Linked DNA regions of Rhinolophus ferrumequinum. The protein of the gene in region 2 interacts with the protein of the main gene of each other region in a pairwise test. Links are inferred from orthologs where the notes say so. Each region holds a gene or a part of one and is shown on either strand. Other genes may lie near its edges. The genes, in order: HSCB, AGTRAP and AP3M1.

Evidence for each region.
Region 1: the proteins of AGTRAP (region 2) and HSCB interact in binary tests that used the Homo sapiens proteins (3 or more experiments, as listed by UniProt). The two-hybrid records come from large-scale screens. The link is inferred for Rhinolophus ferrumequinum from reciprocal best matches to the Homo sapiens genes AGTRAP and HSCB.
Region 3: the proteins of AGTRAP (region 2) and AP3M1 interact in binary tests that used the Homo sapiens proteins (3 or more experiments, as listed by UniProt). The two-hybrid records come from large-scale screens. The link is inferred for Rhinolophus ferrumequinum from reciprocal best matches to the Homo sapiens genes AGTRAP and AP3M1.

What each region holds. Positions count from the first base shown.
Region 1 is NC_046308.1:18,320,816-18,324,415, reverse strand, and holds the start of HSCB (iron-sulfur cluster co-chaperone protein HscB), read right to left. Parts: upstream 2,427-3,600; 5' UTR 2,373-2,426; coding exon 2,137-2,372; intron 1,019-2,136; coding exon 922-1,018; intron 610-921; coding exon 520-609; coding exon of another isoform or gene 515-519; intron 1-514.
Region 2 is NC_046292.1:7,936,059-7,942,963, forward strand, and holds the start of AGTRAP (type-1 angiotensin II receptor-associated protein), read left to right. Parts: upstream 1-3,140; 5' UTR 3,141-3,269; coding exon 3,270-3,296; intron 3,297-6,905. UniProt on the Homo sapiens protein: Appears to be a negative regulator of type-1 angiotensin II receptor-mediated signaling by regulating receptor internalization as well as mechanism of receptor desensitization such as phosphorylation.
Region 3 is NC_046299.1:51,445,113-51,452,017, forward strand, and holds the start of AP3M1 (AP-3 complex subunit mu-1), read right to left. Parts: upstream 3,882-6,905; 5' UTR 3,622-3,881; intron 2,687-3,621; exon of another isoform or gene 2,496-2,686; intron 1-2,495. Other genes in the region: ADK (adenosine kinase), read left to right, coding at 4,149-4,213. UniProt on the Homo sapiens protein: Part of the AP-3 complex, an adaptor-related complex which is not clathrin-associated. The complex is associated with the Golgi region as well as more peripheral structures.

The DNA.
Region 1 (3,600 bases), on a different chromosome or scaffold from region 2:
AGAACTGTGTGACCCATGGGGAGTCATTTCTCCACTTGAGAGCTTGAAGTAGATATTTGGGAAGATTCTATTAAATCCTAAAATTCTAAGGTGTTCACCTCACCCTCCAAAAAAAAAAAAAATGTCCAAAACTACTCTTTCCTAAAAGTCATCACCATCCAATCCTTGAATTTATCGAAAAATGGTTTTTAAAAAATGCAATTGGGCAAGTAACATTTACAGAGGATATTCAGAGAAAACTATACTCATGTAGCACCCCCTTTTTTTTTTTTTTAAGGAGGGCGCAGCTCAAAGTGGCCCATGTGGGGATCGAACCGGCAACCTTGGTGTTATCAGCATCACACTCTAACCAACTGAGCTAACCAACCACCCCCATCATGTAGTATCTTTGAGGCTAAATGTAGTTGGGTCCCTGGACTAGATCAGGTCTCAAGCACTCCTCTGCTGAATACAGGGCAGCAGCTGTACCATAGTGGACAGCAGGCAGTCATGCACAGAAGGGTTGGGAAATCACCTTACAAGGTATACTCCCCTGGTCAGGGGGGCCAGAAGGGTCTTATAGGCGTCATTCACCAGGGTTGAATGCTTCTCTGAGAAATCCTTTTCAATCTGTTAGTGGATATGGAGATAGTCTTATTACCATCCAAATCAGCCATCTGATATTCACAAGCTGTTTCATAAAATACTGATGGGCAGGCACTTAAGGAAGTGGCCAAAATAGAACCAGTGTGGGATAAGATTTATTTATTTTCAACTGATGGATTCTAATTTTGCAGGACAGGTCCAGGGCCTGCCTGGCTGGCGTCTGGTTGCCACAGGATAGAGCTGGCTATCCCTGATAATCACACAACCGCAAGACCACCGCCACCCACCCAGAATGCATATGTGTGTGGGTATGATTAGGGGTGGCCAATAGGCTACCTGAGACCTCTGGCTGAAGAAATCCGGGTGCACAAGACGCTGTAATTGCTGGTACCTATGCTGGAGCTTCACAGTGTCAACTCTGAAGGAACGGTTGCTGGAAGAAAATAGGGAGATAACATTCATGCATCAAGTATTTATAGATTTGTATACTATGGGTCTTGTTCCTGTTCCCATGGGGAAATATACAATAAACATGCAGACAGATAATTTCCAAAAATGGTAGGTGCTGTGAAGAAAAACGGAAAGGGGTCTGCGAGAGTGGTAAATGTGGTGGACAAAGAGATGGCATTTGAGCTGCAAGATGAATGATGATGAAGAGTAATCAAATGTCAGAGGAAATGTGCTAAGGTCCTGAGGTGGGAACGAGTTTCCCACCCTTGAGGAACTTAAAAGGGTAGTGTTACTGCAGCCCTTCGTAAGTGCACAGTGATTGGTGGGGTCAGATCTCAGAGTTAAGGGGAAGGGGGATTCCCAATCCCTCCCTATCTTTCCGAGGCCTGGGTTCCTTCATCTCCGCCTCCCACTTTATTTTAACCTAATCCCTTTTGCTTTCTATTCCCAGAGCCTGCCCCATTTTACAAGTTTAGCTCCGCCCAAACTTTACCACTTCCCCGAAGCTCCTCAACCTTGAGAGAAAAACAAGAAAAACACCTATTCCTCAGATCTTCTCCCTCCAATTCTCACTTTTCCCTTAGGCTCTGTCCACAGTATTAAGTTTTTCCATGCTTTTACTCCCTTATTTTGGATAACACGTCAGTACTCCTTTCTTAAAAGTCTCAACCCAACTTTTATGGTTCTGATCCTAACCCTCAAGTTTCCCTTCTCCAAGGGCCCTTCAAGGACCCTTCCTTCAGACCCCACCTCTCAACTTCGCCTTCTCTCAGGGCCCGCCCCTCAAGTTTCCCTCTACCTTAGTAGTCTCCGTCCCTCAATTTCCTCTAACTTCATTTCCCACCCCTCCAGTCCTCCCTCCACCCTGTCTCCATCCCTCAAAGCCGTTCCTTCAGGCCCGCCCCACAATTTCCTCTTTCTCAGGACCATCCTCCATTCTCCCAGGCCCGACACCCACCTAGACACTGGTCTCCAAGGCTCCGCCCACCTATCTAACTGGCCCCTCCTTCTGCTTCCCAAACCTGATCGGCCCTTCCCTCTCGCACCTCTATCCCTGACTTCTCTCTCGCTCCGGGGCGTTTCCCGAAGCCGTTTCCGTACCAGTCCATAAGGCTGAAGTGGTCCCGAGTGGAGTCAGGCGGCTGCAGCGCACGGCACTGCGGGCAGAAGAACCCGTCCCCACCAATGGGGCCCCTTGGGCCGCCGCAGTTCCAACACTGGGGGCAGTTGCTTCCCGCTAGTGACGCAGCATTACAGCTTATTGGTCTCCTTCCGAGGACCCCAGTCGGCCACAACCCCCACACCCGGAGCAACGCTCGGGTTCTCCCGCTCCACATTTGGCTCGCGGCCTAGTTTCGCCGCGGTCACCTGTAGGGGGATAAGGGGACAAATGGCCCACCAGACTAGTGTTGCTGATTGGCTGGAGGACTGAGGGGGCGGGATCACCCGAGGGAAACCTGGATTCTGAGTCCCGCTCTGAATTTTAAACTACAACTCCCATCAAGCAGTGAGGCTATCGTGGACGGCTACATCCGCTGCTCCTCATTGGTCCGGCAGAAGCGGAGGAATGTTTTGATTGGCTGAGGGTGGACTTTGTATCTGTTTAGCGCCAGTTCGCTAGTGGTGGTAGCTGTGAGTCTGTGGCTCCAGGTGGGCGCACGAGGTGAGTTATAGTGGGGATCTTCTGTCTGGTGTGTGGGAGTTCGAATCCCGCTCTCAGGGAATTAAGGCGAACTAAATCTCTCGAGCTTCCGCTTTGAGCTCTGTTTGAGCTTCGGCGGGGGTGGGGTGGGGTGAGAGGAATGCGTGGACGACTCTCTTCCTTCGTAGATGAACTTCCAGTTACTTCCTCACTTACAAGCTGTAACTGGCCCAGACATACAGGATAAGAAGGAACAAAGTTGTGCTCTTCAAAATGAGAGCAAAGTTGCTTTGTGAAGAGTTCTAGAAATGTCAGTAATTATTGCCATACTTTAGATTCAATCTTGAAAATAACGTATTGAGAACCCATTTTTAGCGGATAGGCACTGCAGGAATTGGAAATATACTTACTTGTGTAGGAGGATGCTATGCAAGTGTCCATAAGTAAGTGTGTGGAATGGGATGGCTAGGAGAGGGTAGGGGTACCAGTCCTCCTTGGGATTCGGTTTCTCTATTAGAAAATAAAAGATTGTGTTGCACTTGTAAGGTCTTTCCGGCTGTTGGATTCTTGGGGATTGGAATTCTGTTGTCCCAATTATCAAGGATAGTCGAGGAGGAGAGTTCATGTATCATCTCGTTTAATCGGAAAGATCTATCTACTTTATTCAGATAAGGTTTCAAGAGGTTGATTTACCTAAAGGTCATGCAAAGATTTTTTAGGCATCTGACTCCAGACCTATTTGCCTCTAACCACTCCACTGTACTTTCTCTACACTGAGGCCAGTGTGATCCCAGCCTGGTAGACCCTTATTTATCATAAGCGATGATAGTTACCTCTTGACACACTGTCTTTTGCCAGTTTTCAGGGCGGAGAAGTCTTGCTCAAAAAAAACTGCAGAAGGACACACTCAGCCTGGCTGAGGT
Region 2 (6,905 bases):
GCAAGACAGGGATCCAAAACATACCTTTACCTAAAGGACACAGGCAATCATAGGAAAGACATGGCTGTGGCTGCTTCATCAGCCATTTCCATAACCAGTGGCACTTACCAAGTGCCGTCCTCAGCAGAGCCTGGACTATCCGTGGCATCCTGAGGACAAGCAGGGAATTGGGTGGCAGGTCTTCCAGGTGATGGGAGGAAGGGGTGCACACAAATTTGTTCAGTGGATGTACCTCGGTTCATTCCCTGAGCACCCAGCATGCCCCAGGCCAGTGTTGAGGTTCCAAGACCCTCCTAGGATTTGCAGTCTAGGTGGGGGTGGGGCAGACAATAAACAAGTAAACAAGTAAATTGATAGGTCAATACCTTCACATATTGGTAAGTGCTATGAAGAAATTACAATAGGACAGTACAACCAACTTGGAAAACAGTTTGGCAATTTCTTAAAAAGCCAAATATACACCCGTCATATATGGTCCAGCCATTCCACTCCTAGATATTTACCCAAGTAGGTGTTCAATAACTATTCTCTGAATGAATGAATGAATGAATGAATGAACGAATCTATTCTGCATGTCAGATTCTTTGTTGAAGGTACAAAGATAAAACTTGGCCGAGACAGACAGGATTGGTCAGGGACATGAAAACTTTAAACTTGGGGCGGCAGGATGGCTCAGTTGGTTAGAGTGCGAGCTCTCAACAACAAGGTTGCCGGTTCAATTCCTCACATGGGATGGTGGGCTGCGCCCCCTGCAACTAAAGATTGAAAACGGCGACTGGACTTGGAGCTGAGCTGCACCCTCCACAACTAGACTGAAGAACAACGACTTGGAGCTGATGGGCCCTGAAGAAACATACTGTTCTCCAACATTCCCCAATAAAATTTATAAGAGAAAAATTTAAACTTGACTTACAAAAGTATGACCCCAAAGCCTTGTGGAATATGCTTTGTGGGGGTCCATTTGACCTTCCATAGTTACAACTGGGTCACGGCAGGAACTCTGACTCCTTTAAGAATAGTTTTACTTTCTTGTGTTCCCTCCCCACCCCAGCCAACTGGGTCTGTCCCCACTTCCCCAGCTGGTCAGGATGAATACAGCTCTCAACCACAAGGTTGCCGGTTCGACTCCTCGACTCCCACAAGGGATGGTGGGCTGTGCCCCCTGCAACTAACAACGGCAACTGGACCTGGAGCTGAGCTGCGCCCTCCACAACTAAGACTGAAAGGACAACAACTTGACTTGGAAAAAGACCTGGAAGTCCATGCTGTTCCCCAATAAAGTCCTGTTCCCCTTCCCCAATAAAATCTTTTTTAAAAAAATACCCACCACTTATTGAGGAATTACTCTTTTCTATGTACTCTACTGACAACAATAATTAACACTAATACACTAATAATTATTAATAAAAGTACAGCCAATCCTGACTAAGTGCTTACTGTCTGCCAGACACTGTCCTAAATGTTTTTCATGTATTAATAAATCCTAACAACGCTTTGGAGGAAGCCACTGTTATTATCCTCATTTTACAGATGAGAAAACTGAAGCACCGAGAGGCAAAGTGACTTACCCAAGTTCAACCAGTAAGTGGACAAAGCCAGGACTCAAACTCTGTTGCTCTGTTCTAGCGCAGTTCCCCTGTGCTTTAAATCCCCAAAAATCAAGCTAAATGAGCTGTACCCATTGGGCTGGTCTCTAAAGATCACCAGCTCTCAGTTACAATGGCAGATGCTATGCTGCTCTACCCCTGGGCTGGAGGGCTTTGTCTCTGAATGGGGCATTAAATTAGGTCAGTGGGTACTGCAGGTCCTGCAGTCTTTCCTTTGTGTTGGAGAGAGTATATGTCTTGATATGATCTCAGGACCCACCCAGGCAGTTTCGCAGGTTCCCACATGGTCTCTCCTGTCCTGGAGACACGAACAAGTTGTCAGACAGACCGTAGGGGACCCTCTAAATAAAGTTTTCTCTGGTCATGGGTGAAGGATGGGGTACAGGGGAGGATGGCGGTAGTGGGGATTTACATTCCTGTTGGGAGGTGGTCAACAGCCTTTGAGACGGCAGGTGAGACAGCTCTCTCTTTCCTCAATTTCTTCCATTCTTGGTTAAGAGGCAAACAGGTGTCTTGACAGACTCTTTCTTCACTGGTCTGCTTTTTTCTGGAAACAGGTGTGTCCTACAGGTTTTCTGCTGGTCTTCCAGATGGATTTTTCTACAGCTTTTAGTTTGTTCATTCAAGTGGCCCCTTGTGTGTTGATAACAACAATATTTTCTATGTACTGCTCATCGAGTAAGTGCCAGGCACTTTTCTAGGCACTTTCCTTTGACAAAAACTCTATCCTTGACCAAACTTTAGTTAGGCTCATGAGGCTTCTCCTCAAACTCGGCCTCAGCCTGGCCTCGGTGTGCAACCTGTTCTTGCTGGGCCTGCATAGCCCAGTTTTAGCAAGAATCCCCCTGCCCTGGATAACTGAACACCCTCCACATCTGATCAAGTTCCTCACCTGCCCTCCCTCACCTTTTGATGTCTACGTCCTTGGCCTGCCTTTAGCAAGAATCTTGTTAGGTTGGTTTAGCAAGAATCCCCCCAGCCTTTAGTGTCTCCTCTTAGTAATTTTCCATCTACTGAGCCCTCACTCTGCTGCTTCGCTATAAAACCCCACTTGTCCTTGCTGTTCATAGTTAAGCTTGATTTTTCTCCCCTCCTGCAACATCCCTATTGCAATAGTGTTGGGTGAAGTCTTCCCTACCATTTTAACAAATGTCAGAATAAATTTTTCTTTAACAAAATGGATTCGTTCATTTATCCTCACAAGGGTCCTCTGAGGTAGGTACCGTCAATGTCTCTAACACTGGAAGGTCGAGAGGAGAGAGGATTTCCTGAAGGATGAGATAGCAGCTGTTGCCACATCCTCACTTTGCACCTGGACATACCCCCAAGTTCTCCTGGCTGCAGGTGGTCCCGTCAGTCCACCTGCTGGGATATTAACCAGGCAAGATATTGCTCCCTTTGCGGCAAAAGTCCTGATGTTCTCCAGCCGCCCCCGGGAACTCCCTGAGCAACGTGTGGACGGAGCTGGGAGCCAGCGGGAAGCGGGTGCTGGCCGACGCCGTCCCCTGGCAAACGGGCAGTGGTCATGTGACCCGAGTCACGTGGCCGGGAGCTGAGCTGGGGTTAGAGCCCAGGCAGCAGGGCTGGCTGGTGCTGGCAAGTTTGCTTCCCGAGTTCCAAGACCCCGCGGCTGTCGCACAGGTGCCTTCCGCCTAGGTCGGGATGGAGCTGCCAGCCGTGAACCTGAAGGTGGCGACGGGCGGGGCGGGGGTGGCCACGCCGCAGGCGGGCGGGCGCGGGGCGGGTCTCCGGGAGTGTGGGGGCCGTTTGCGCTTTTAAAGTAGGATTTTGGAGGTGAGAAGGCCGGGAGTTTGGGAAAGAAAAGGCGTAAGGAGAAAGAAAAGATACAGACCCCTGGTGAGAAGGAGGCGGGCAGACAAACCAAGGCCGGGAGAGAGATCCAGGAAAAGGCCAGGAGGGAAAACCGAGGGAAAGGGCCGCCCCCTCCGGCAGTCGGATCCCTGCCACTGGGAGCACCCGGCCCTGGAGGATTGCTGTGGCCTACGCCACCAGAATTCCCCTGGGGAAAGAGGAAGGCGCGGGGGAGGGACTAAGACCCGGAGTGGGGCTTGGAGGCGGACACCTCCCCTCCACCTAGAGGGAGAGAGGGAGGGCGGAGGAGGGAGACGGAGAGAGGTGTTAGACCTTTCACCTGGCCTCCCATAACTTCAAGGTAGCCTCCTTTGTTTGCTAAATCCGGTTAAGAAAAGTAGATGTGCCCGGACTGGTGGTTTACAAAATGTATCAACCCTGCGTCCTTATTTCCCAAGAAACACGAACTCCAGTAGAAGTTGCTTAACGCCAGAAAACCACAACTTGGTGCACTTAGTAAAACACTGCAGGGCTTCCTGGGATGTCTTCATTTCCTGAGCGGCTCTCCTGAGCTCCTCAGGATGCCACTGGCGGAGGTTCATTTTCTCCCGCCACACCCCAGCCCGCTGTGCTTCTTGGCTGGGTTTGCGACAGAGGGGCTGTGGCCTTTTTAGCTTTGGTCAGGAGGGGGTGAACCTTCCGCCAAACCTGCCATTTTGGGTCTCGGTGCAGTCTCCTTTGAGACTGGATCCAGGAATGCCCTTTTACTCACTGGTGACAAAGCATTTAGCAGCCATGGTGTCCGGTACTAAAGGAACCCAAAAGATAGATGACTACAAAACAGCACATCATTCATATTTGGGTTATGAGACCTGCTCTGTGCTATGACTTCATACAGGCAGACTTCCAGTAATCACGCTCGCTGGGACCAACCTCCCTGAAGCTTCTAGTCAACAGCTGCGTGGAGAGATGTCTGGAGCAAGAGAATGGGCTTGGGTTGAAGGTTTATCTGGGAAGAAATTGCCATGAGGGAAACATCCATACTCACTCTGTTCCAGGCAGTGTGGGGTTAATGCCAACTGCCTTTTCTCTAGCGATTTGCCTAAAACAATGCTAAGAGAAAATCAGGTGAAGGACAAAGCTGCAGGAGTTGAGAAGGAAGAAAACTCTCATTCCTGGGGCATCTGTGGTGTGCCAGGTTATTTGTTTAATCACAACAGCCTTCCGGGAAAGCTGATATTGTCATCTTTTACGGATGAGCAAACCTTGGCTCAGATCAGATAAATAATTTGCCAAAGTCCCACAGGGATTAAGTGGCAGAGTCAGGATTTGAACCCACCAGGGTCAGACTTCAAAGCCAGCCTGAGACCTTGCCTGGTCACCAGTTAGGGCTGACTTCTGCCTTGATAGTTTATGTCCATCAGGGGGACTTAAGTCTGTTTGGGGCTTTTTTGCAGCAACTTATTGGCCTGACAGACCAAGCACTACCATGGGTGTGAGCTGTGCTGGCTTTCGGTGCCCAGAATGAAACTCTGGTCCTTCCCTTGATTTGGGAAAAAAGACCCTCTGTCTCTATATAGGTCTTCCGCTGTTACTAGTCAGAGACAAGTAAGTGTCAGGAGGCCCTGAGGGACCAGGGTTGCCAGGTAACATATAGGATATCCAGTTGAATTTGAATTTCAGATCAGCAATGAATAATTTTTTATCATACGTATATTCCAGGCAATATTTGGGACATACTAACAAATTATGCATTATCTGAAATTTGAAATGAAGTGTGCCGTATTGTTAAATCTGGCCTTCCTATGGAGGGTAGCTGTTGACCCCGGGTTCACAGGCACTTTCGTGGGTTGTTCCGAGATCAGGGCCCCGAGGGGGCTGGGGAAATGCAGCCCGTGGGCCTGCCCTCCCTCCCCACTCCCTTATTTCATACATTCTTTGGGAATTGGCCGAATGCCAGCTTGTGCCCAGCCAGAGTGGGCAGTGGTACCCGGTTAAAAGAAATAGCTGCTCTAGGCCCTTTGCACAAAAGGTAGTCCCTAGCTGAGCCCCATCCCTGAGGCAAGTCTTGAGCCAGAGGGATGACACTGTGACAAGCTTAGAAAGGACTAGACTTGGGTTCATGACGTCTTGTGGAAAGAGGCCCTTGTGGGAAGAGGGTGGGGGTGGGGCGGGTAGTGGAGCATTTGGGTTGAGAACTCAGGAAGCTGACTTCCTATGGTAAGGAGGACAGCTTCGTATCAAGGGCTGCTTACCTGGCAGGCACTGTGTTGAGTATTCACATACCTCTCCACTTCCCTGTACCACTAGATCCGCACAACCCTACGAAACAGGCATATTGTCCCTACTTTACGGAAGAGCAAGCTGCAGTTCTGAGAAGTCAAGTAACTTGCACAAGGTCACACAGCTTCTGCAGCATGGAGCCAGGATCAGCTATCTGGCTGCAGCGCTCATGCAGTTAACCACTGCCTGACTCCGCCTCCCCTCTAGGGCAGCCCTGATTTGTGTCCCTCAGCCCTAGCCACCCTCTGGGATCTCACCACCTCAGATAACAAGTCATGGAGTGTTTGCACGGGACTGGTAGGACTATATTTCATATGTCGACCTGTGTGTTGATCTGAGAGGTCAGCGCACCACCTGTGGGGAAATCCCCCCCCACCCCCACTCTCGCATCCCTCATGGGCTTCTGGTGGCAAAGTAGTCTAAGTCCACAGGACCCCTTGGTTTCCCCTTAGCCTTCCCTTCTCCAGGTTAAACGCCATTTCCATCCGCTTTTCCAAACCCTGACAGTATAACATGGATAGAGCACAGGCCTTGGGGCCAGACATTCAAGGCTGGGCTTTGCTACTTATTCACCGTGACTTTGAGCAGGTTTCTTAACCTGTCAGTATCAGTGTCCTCACTGTAAAAGAGGACAAAAATAAACCCTATCTTCTAGGGTGATAAGAGGAGGAGCTAGTGGTCCAGGAGGTGGTGTAGCTTTACATTTTTACTGGCATAAAACCTCAGACCAGATAGACCATCTGAGATCTGCACCTGGCCTCTCTTATTTGTCGGTGTTACAGTGTGGGCCAGTTTACCCTCTCACAGCCTCCGTTTCTTCATAAGTAAAGCGAGATTAAGACTCTCCCCCGTATACCGGTGGGTGCAAGGATGACAGGGGTCAAGTGTTCAAGGCAGTGTAGACACTGGCAGGCAGGGCTTCATCAGCAGCAGGAGTTGCTTTTGCTGTTCACGGTTATAGGATACCTGTCCTACATAGGTACTCATGGTTATGAAGCAGACACAGACATTGACTGTCCAGATGCCTGTGTCTCTGCAGTTGAGGCACCCCTAGGGGACATACAGGTGATAGGTATTGCCTCCATTTCACAGAGAAGGAACATAGGGCTCAGACACAGAGGGACATGGCTCCTAGACCACAACCAGGTCTCCTATGTCTAACCCAGCATCCTGCTACCCTGTGTTGCCTTGACTCACAAGCCC
Region 3 (6,905 bases), on a different chromosome or scaffold from region 2:
GGTCTTGGAAGAATACAGTAAGTTAAACTGGCCATCTGGATTTATTATTGTTATCCTTAGTGCTGAGATGAAAGTTAACACTTGTGGCTTTCAACAGTTCTGAGCTTTAAAACCCATCTTAACCTTCTATTATAGGAAAAGAGAGCTTATTTCTTCTATCCATATTATGACCAAGGGCCTAATGCATATAACAATTAAATAAATATCACATGCAGCCTGTTTGTTTAACTACTTAACCTTTTAGCAGCTGTAGTTCTTTTATTATTTTAATAAACTTCCTGGGAAAGCTACACACTCACCACCACCACAACTATCCTTTGAGTCAGAAAGCAGAATTCTCCCAATTTATTTTAAAGCCACTTGAGAAACTGTGCTCAGAGGCTGTTCCACCCGACTTCTGACTGCAGCTTAAATATGTCATAAATTCCCTTTACCAAATGTTGAACACACTCATTCTGATGATTCATAATCAGTGCAATTACAATAGTCAAAATATCCTTGGAAGATAGTGTCTAAAAAAGAAAATGTGTTTCTTCTATATATATAACAGAATAAAGGCATGGAAGGTGAGATAGGCATATCCAAGGCCAGAGAATAAGACCAGAAAATAATGTAGCTTCCCTGATTCTCAGCCAATATTTTCACCATTTATTCATTCAACAAGTAGTTTTGAATATGTTTTATATATTAAGCAATGGGGATACAAAGGTGAACAAATTAGAGTCCCTGAACTCACGTTTAGAGTTCAACGAAGAAGGCAAACAACTTAATACAGTAAAATGTAATTCCTATTATGATAGGGGAGATACAGTGTGCTATAGAAATTCACAGGCTTTGATGTGAGAGAAAACACAAGACAAATCCAGTACAAATTCATCAATTTTAGGAGGCGGAGGGAAGTTGTGAGATGAGACTGGAGAAGAAGATAAGCAGAGATTAGTTCACTTTATTCTCTGGGCAATGTAAAATCATTTTCTATGGTTTTATGGAGGAGATTCATGCAATCCAATTTACAGTTTTAAGATTGTACTGCGGGAACTGCATAATGGGGCAACTGAGTATCGTGAGACCAGTTGAGAGATGTGTTATGGTGGTGGCCTGAACTAGAGTGTTGACAGTAAGGATGGAGGAAAATGAAAAGAGAAACATTCAGGTTTGAGCAAAGATTAGGGAGGGGGCGGGGTGGAGATGAGAGGGGAAAATGAGGCATTTAGCCCTAATCCTGTATAATCTGATCCAAATCTGGATATATTTGACTCAAATGGATATATTCAAAAGACTTTTGTATATATAGGTCTGGTGCTTTAGAGAGAAGCCAAGTTTGAGATCGATTTGTGAGTAATCATGATTTTTTACTAATGGGAATTGTAACTATAAGGAGAATAAAATTACAGAGAGAGAATGTGCATAGTAGAAGAGAAACTGTGGAAGGAACTCCAACATTTGAGTAGCAGTTGGGTCAAGCAAGTAGGCCTAAAAAAGAAGACTAAGATATGGCTGAAGAGGGAATAAAAAAAAGGGGGTGGGGAGGATAATGTTTTTTAGTGACTAGAGTGTGTTAGTGTGTTTCCAAAAGAATGGAGTATTAAACATTTTAAATGGCACAAAGAATTCAAGCTACAAGAACTGAAAATGACTGTTGATTTAATAGTGTTTCTCAACTTTCTTTTCATTATTACCTGCTTTTTCAGATTTCCCTTCAATCATACCCCTCCCATAAAAATTTTAGTACTACAGTATATCTGTATATCTCTTTATGTACTGTAAACATATCTTTGCTTTATACATAAAAAGAGTATGATTTTTTCGTTTGTTTCACAAGAGGCAATTTTTGTCCCCACTGAGATATATGATTTAACACAGGACACTGGTGATCTTTATAAAAGTAGTTTCAGTGGTCGTTTAGCTGGAAACTAGATATGCTACAGTGCGCTGATAAATAAATAGCATGAAGTGGGAAGAAAATAGATAAGGCGAGTAGTTGATACATTCAAGAGCTCTAGCTGTGAAGGGGATGAAAAGACAAGAAAATAAATAGGAGTGGTTCATAAAATTAAGGAAGATGATTTTTACATGCTGAATGAAAGGTGTGAGTAGAGGGGAAAGACTGATGATGTAGGAGAATAACTGAAAAAAAGAAGACCCGGAGACAGTAGGAGAGAATGGTATTGGGAGACTAGGTGAAAGGATTTGACCAAACGGCAAGATTTGTATATTTGGTTGCAGGAAGATGATGGCTTTTATTTTCTGTGTGTAATAAGAGAGGTCATTTGTAGAGGGAGAGAGACTACAAATACCATTTGCTACCCATGAATAGAGATATTATTGAGCTTCTTAAATATTCTTAAAAATATCTAATCAGCAGGGAACTCCAATAATATATTATGTTGACTATTTAGAAACATTGTAAAAATCCTAAGATTCAGTAAGAAAAGCTAACCTTATTTCAAAAAGAGCTTTCCTACTAAAGATATGTCAGGTAATTCTTCATTTACCTCATTCCTCCACTTTTCCTATGTTTTCAATGGAAAGTGTCCTCCTTTGTTTCCAGAGCTAATTCTTCCATTTGTAATTTTGATCCCATTTCCTTTCGTCTTTTCCAAGGTCTTTATCTCCTCTTTTTGAATCTTTAATCTTAGACATGGGTTACTTGCTTTCTGCACCAAAACTTAATGTATTTTGTATTCTTTAAAAACAAACAAACCTCAAACCTTTTAGGGATCTTGTCATGCTCAATAATCTTTTGCTTCATACTCCAAATGAGTTCACTTGCAGTCTCTCCTCTCAGTAACTGACTCTATTCAAGTCGCTCTCTCAAATGGCTAACTTCCTAATCAACAAATCCAACAACCTACTCTCAGACTTCAATTTACTCCTTTGACCCTTGTACATTTCATGGTAACGTTCCTCCAAACAAACCAAGTACTTCTTATCCTCTTATATGAAACTTCACCTGTTTGGGTTCTCACCTTGTAAGTTTCTTTCCGGATTACTTCCCACACTTTTTTTCTTTTAATCTTTCTACCATTTCCATCTAAATCACTGTTTCAACCTCGATATATCCCTAAGTTCCACAAAATTCCTTCTCCTCATCCGACGGCTCCTAATTCTATAGTGGCACCACCTACTTAAAGTATAGGCTTCAGGTTCAATCCAAATCTACCAAATCCAACCAGCCACATCGCTCATCACTTTTCCATATTCACTCTCTCCTGAAGAAGTGCAATCCCCTCCTCACTGTATTCCCCACCCCAGACAAGAGGTCCGCTCGGCTCGGTCAGAGGTTTTGTTCTCCAAAGCAGAAGCCTGGGGCTGACGTCCGAATCGTTGGCACTCCAGCTCACTATGGGTGACAAGACCTTTTTCTCGCGCCGGAGAACCCCAATGAGCCTGAATCTCTGGTTTGGGGCCTGAAAACACTGAGCTGCAGGTGCACCGCTCCCTTCCGGCCCTGCTGGCAAGAAAGCCCGGAAGGCCGGGAGCGAGGCGCGGTCCCGGCCCACAGCACCGGAGACGCTCCGGTCCGCAGTCCAAGCTGGAGTCCGGAACCCCAGCTATTCAGCTTACTCCCCAGGTTCCGAACTGTCCCCTGACCTCAGACTCCCCGCCCCTCACACTCACCCCGACACCTGGGCCTGTCAGTGATTCGGCGCCGGGTCCTCTCCGGACCGAGGCTGAGGCAGCTGAGAAGACCGTGAGGACCCCGCAGTTGGAGTGCCCAGTAGATTGCCTGACTAACAGCTTCAAAGAAACCAACTAGGTCTACCGATTTGGAAATATTAAATAAGCGGGAAGACATTGAATGAGAAGAAACATGTCTCTTGCGGTTTAGGATATAAATCTTTTAGATCACCCAGAATCTAGAAGAATGGGGGGCAATCTCACACCATCTGGATTCAGGCGCTCATCCGCAGCCTAACTCAGTCTGGGGTCCCCCTATAGTTGGGTGGGCGGGGCCATGAAGGGTTTGTATATTAGCTAATGGGTGGAGCCGAGAGGTAGAACCAATGACTGTGGGTGGGAGAGGCATAGACTGGGAGGAGTCGGGAGGGCGGGGTTAGTAAAAAGAAGGCGGTGATACGAGAGGGGGCGGGGCCAGAGAGTCGAAGGGGCGCACGCCGGTGCCTAAGTGGGTTGGGAGCGTAAAGATGGCCGCGGCTGAGCAGGAGCCGAAACCCAAAAAGCTGAAGGTGGAAGCTCCGCGAGCGCTGAGGTGAGCGCTACCCTAGGAAGGGTAGAGGGTGACGGCACCTGCCGCGACCCGGGCCCACGTGTAGTTGTGCGGCCCTGGCGCTGGGTGGCGTCCTCGCTGCCGGCATGGGGCCAAAGTGCAGAAACCGCTGCTCCGGGAGCTGCCCGCAGGGCTGCGATCTCTTGTCAGGTGCCCGCCCAGTTTGGCTGAGTCGCCTCGTGCTCCGGAGCGGCTCCCGCCGCCGGTGACCAATCAGAGCGCCGGTCGGGGTTGCGGAGCCGGATGAGAGCTAAATGCAGGCGCCACGTGGGAGCCCTCTCAGGCTGGGCTGGTGAGAGACCCGGGAGAACCGGGCAGGACCAGCGCACGGTCAAACGCGGCCATCTCCTCTTCCCTGTGGGGTGACGAGGAGGAGACCCAGCGACTGCTCTGCCCTGGGGCAAAGACATAATTCTTGGGGATTTTTTCGTAAATGTCGCGGAAGGACGACTTGACCTTCCTTTTCATAGAGACTGATTGCTGGCACCTGTGAAGATCATCTGCCAGGGACTCAGTCCCCGCCTCTGAGGCTTTGTGGGGGCGGCCTTTGGCTGAATGGTTAGGAAAGGCTGATTTTTCTTTTTTTCTTTGTACTTTTTGGCAGCAATGGGGAGAGTTCTGCGTCCGACACCTGCCTCACATGTGATTGATGTCGCAACTTTCACTTATCAAAAGCTGTTTGTTAAATATACCTTCCTAATAAGTATAAAGTGCAGTGTGCACAGTCCTTGCTTTTGCAATAATCGTTGGAAAGCAATGATTTTTCTAATTAAAAAGGGACATATCGAATTGATTTAAAACTATTGGGACACGCCTGATTATACAAGAGAAATCTCATTTCTTCCAGCATCACCCCTCTTTACCTCCGAAAGAATGAATCATTCATAATTGAAAAGAAAGGGTCTCTTAGGGGTTTGGTGGTGTGTTCATGCTGTTTTGAATGGATGGTGACCAAATCCCTGCCAGTGCCTTTAATGTATTTCTACTACCGTCAAAGGGTTAATGTGCCTACCTCATACGAAGAAAATAAACTTTATTTTGTAACAACTCAGGATGTTCTATTTTTATTTTAAGTTTACAAACTATAGAGTAAAAGGGGCTTTTGAATTAGACCTATCTGGGTTCGAGTGCTTTCCCTATTGACCCATTATTAGAGTGTTTCCTTAAAAGTCACCTCTTTTCACAAAGTTTCCTCTAGTAAATTGGCAGACAGATGCAACTTTTCCCTACTATCCTACTAAACAAACTGCCCTTAGATTTTCCTATGTTAATCCATTTTCAAAGTGCTTTCCTATTTTACAGATGAAGAAATTGAAGCTCAAATGAAATATTTAGTTAACTGTTTGAACCCAGAGCATTTGGGTGCAAGTTCATTGTTGTTGGACTCTACTGTGTCTACTTTTATATAACCACCAAAGGTATACTTTCTGCCTATGCATCCTTACAACGAATGATAAATAATGTTTAATACTTAAGTATGTATTTGCTAGACACTATATCAGCACTGAACCTATTTTAAGTCATTCAATTCCACAACAACCTTACAATGTGGGTACTGTAATTATCTCTATTTTACCAAGGAGGAAACAGGCATAGAGAGATTAAGTAATTTATCAAGGTCACTTATCTAGTAGGGTTGGGATTTTAATCCAGGTAGTTTGATTCCAAGTCTGTACTCTTAATTACCATGCTATACTTAATTAACTTCAAGCAATTTATTCCAAAATACTAGTGAATTGTTAACTCAGTTTTTGTTTGTTTCTCCACTACTTTTGCTTCTGGGTGTTTTTTGTTGTTGTTGTTGTTAGTGTACGTAACTTTTTATGTTGTTGCAATATGTGGGCATATGATACAAAATAATTCTTAAATATATATAATATATTTTGTATATCATTAATGTATTTAACACTTGTAAAAGTCTTTAGGCCACTGAAACTCATTTTATACACTATCTACTTAATGCCACCTGTAGATTTAAAGTTAAAAGATTTAGACACTTGAGGGCTGGGACAAATCTCTTAATTTTGTGTGAAGATGTTTCAGGATTGGCTGTTTCTACTTTCATTATATTAGTTTGGCTTTAAGGGTTGAGTGGGATTATACACTGAGTGGTCAGACTGCATGCGTTATTTATGATGACTTGCTTGACAATTCAGAGGCTAGCTATCAGTTTTGGTTAACTTTTAGGGAGAATGACTTACAAAGTCTAAGCCTAAGTTAATGTGTAGATCAGTCAGTGAGGGAACACATAAGTTTATGAGATATTTGTAGATGCCAGGGAAAGGATTTAGACTTTTGTGACAATTTCAGAATTCTGGAGTAGCAGTGCTCAACCACGGGAAATTTTGGAAGTGTCTGGAGACATTTTTGTTGGGGACTGCTACTGGTTCTCAACCAGAGGACATTTTGCAAATGTCTGGAGTCATTTTTTTGGAGCGTGCTATTGGCACCCCGTGGGTAGAGTTCAAGGATGCTGCTAAACAACCTGCAATGCACAGGAAGCCCCCTACAACAAAGACTTATTCAGCCAAAATTGACAATAATAGTGTTGAGATTGAAAAAACTCTGCTCTAGGGGGAGCATCTGACAAGTCTAGCCTCCCTTTCTCAAATGGGCATAGTTTTTCTAACCTGGATTGCTTTTCAGGGTAGCAGTTACTAAAGTTGCAATAAAT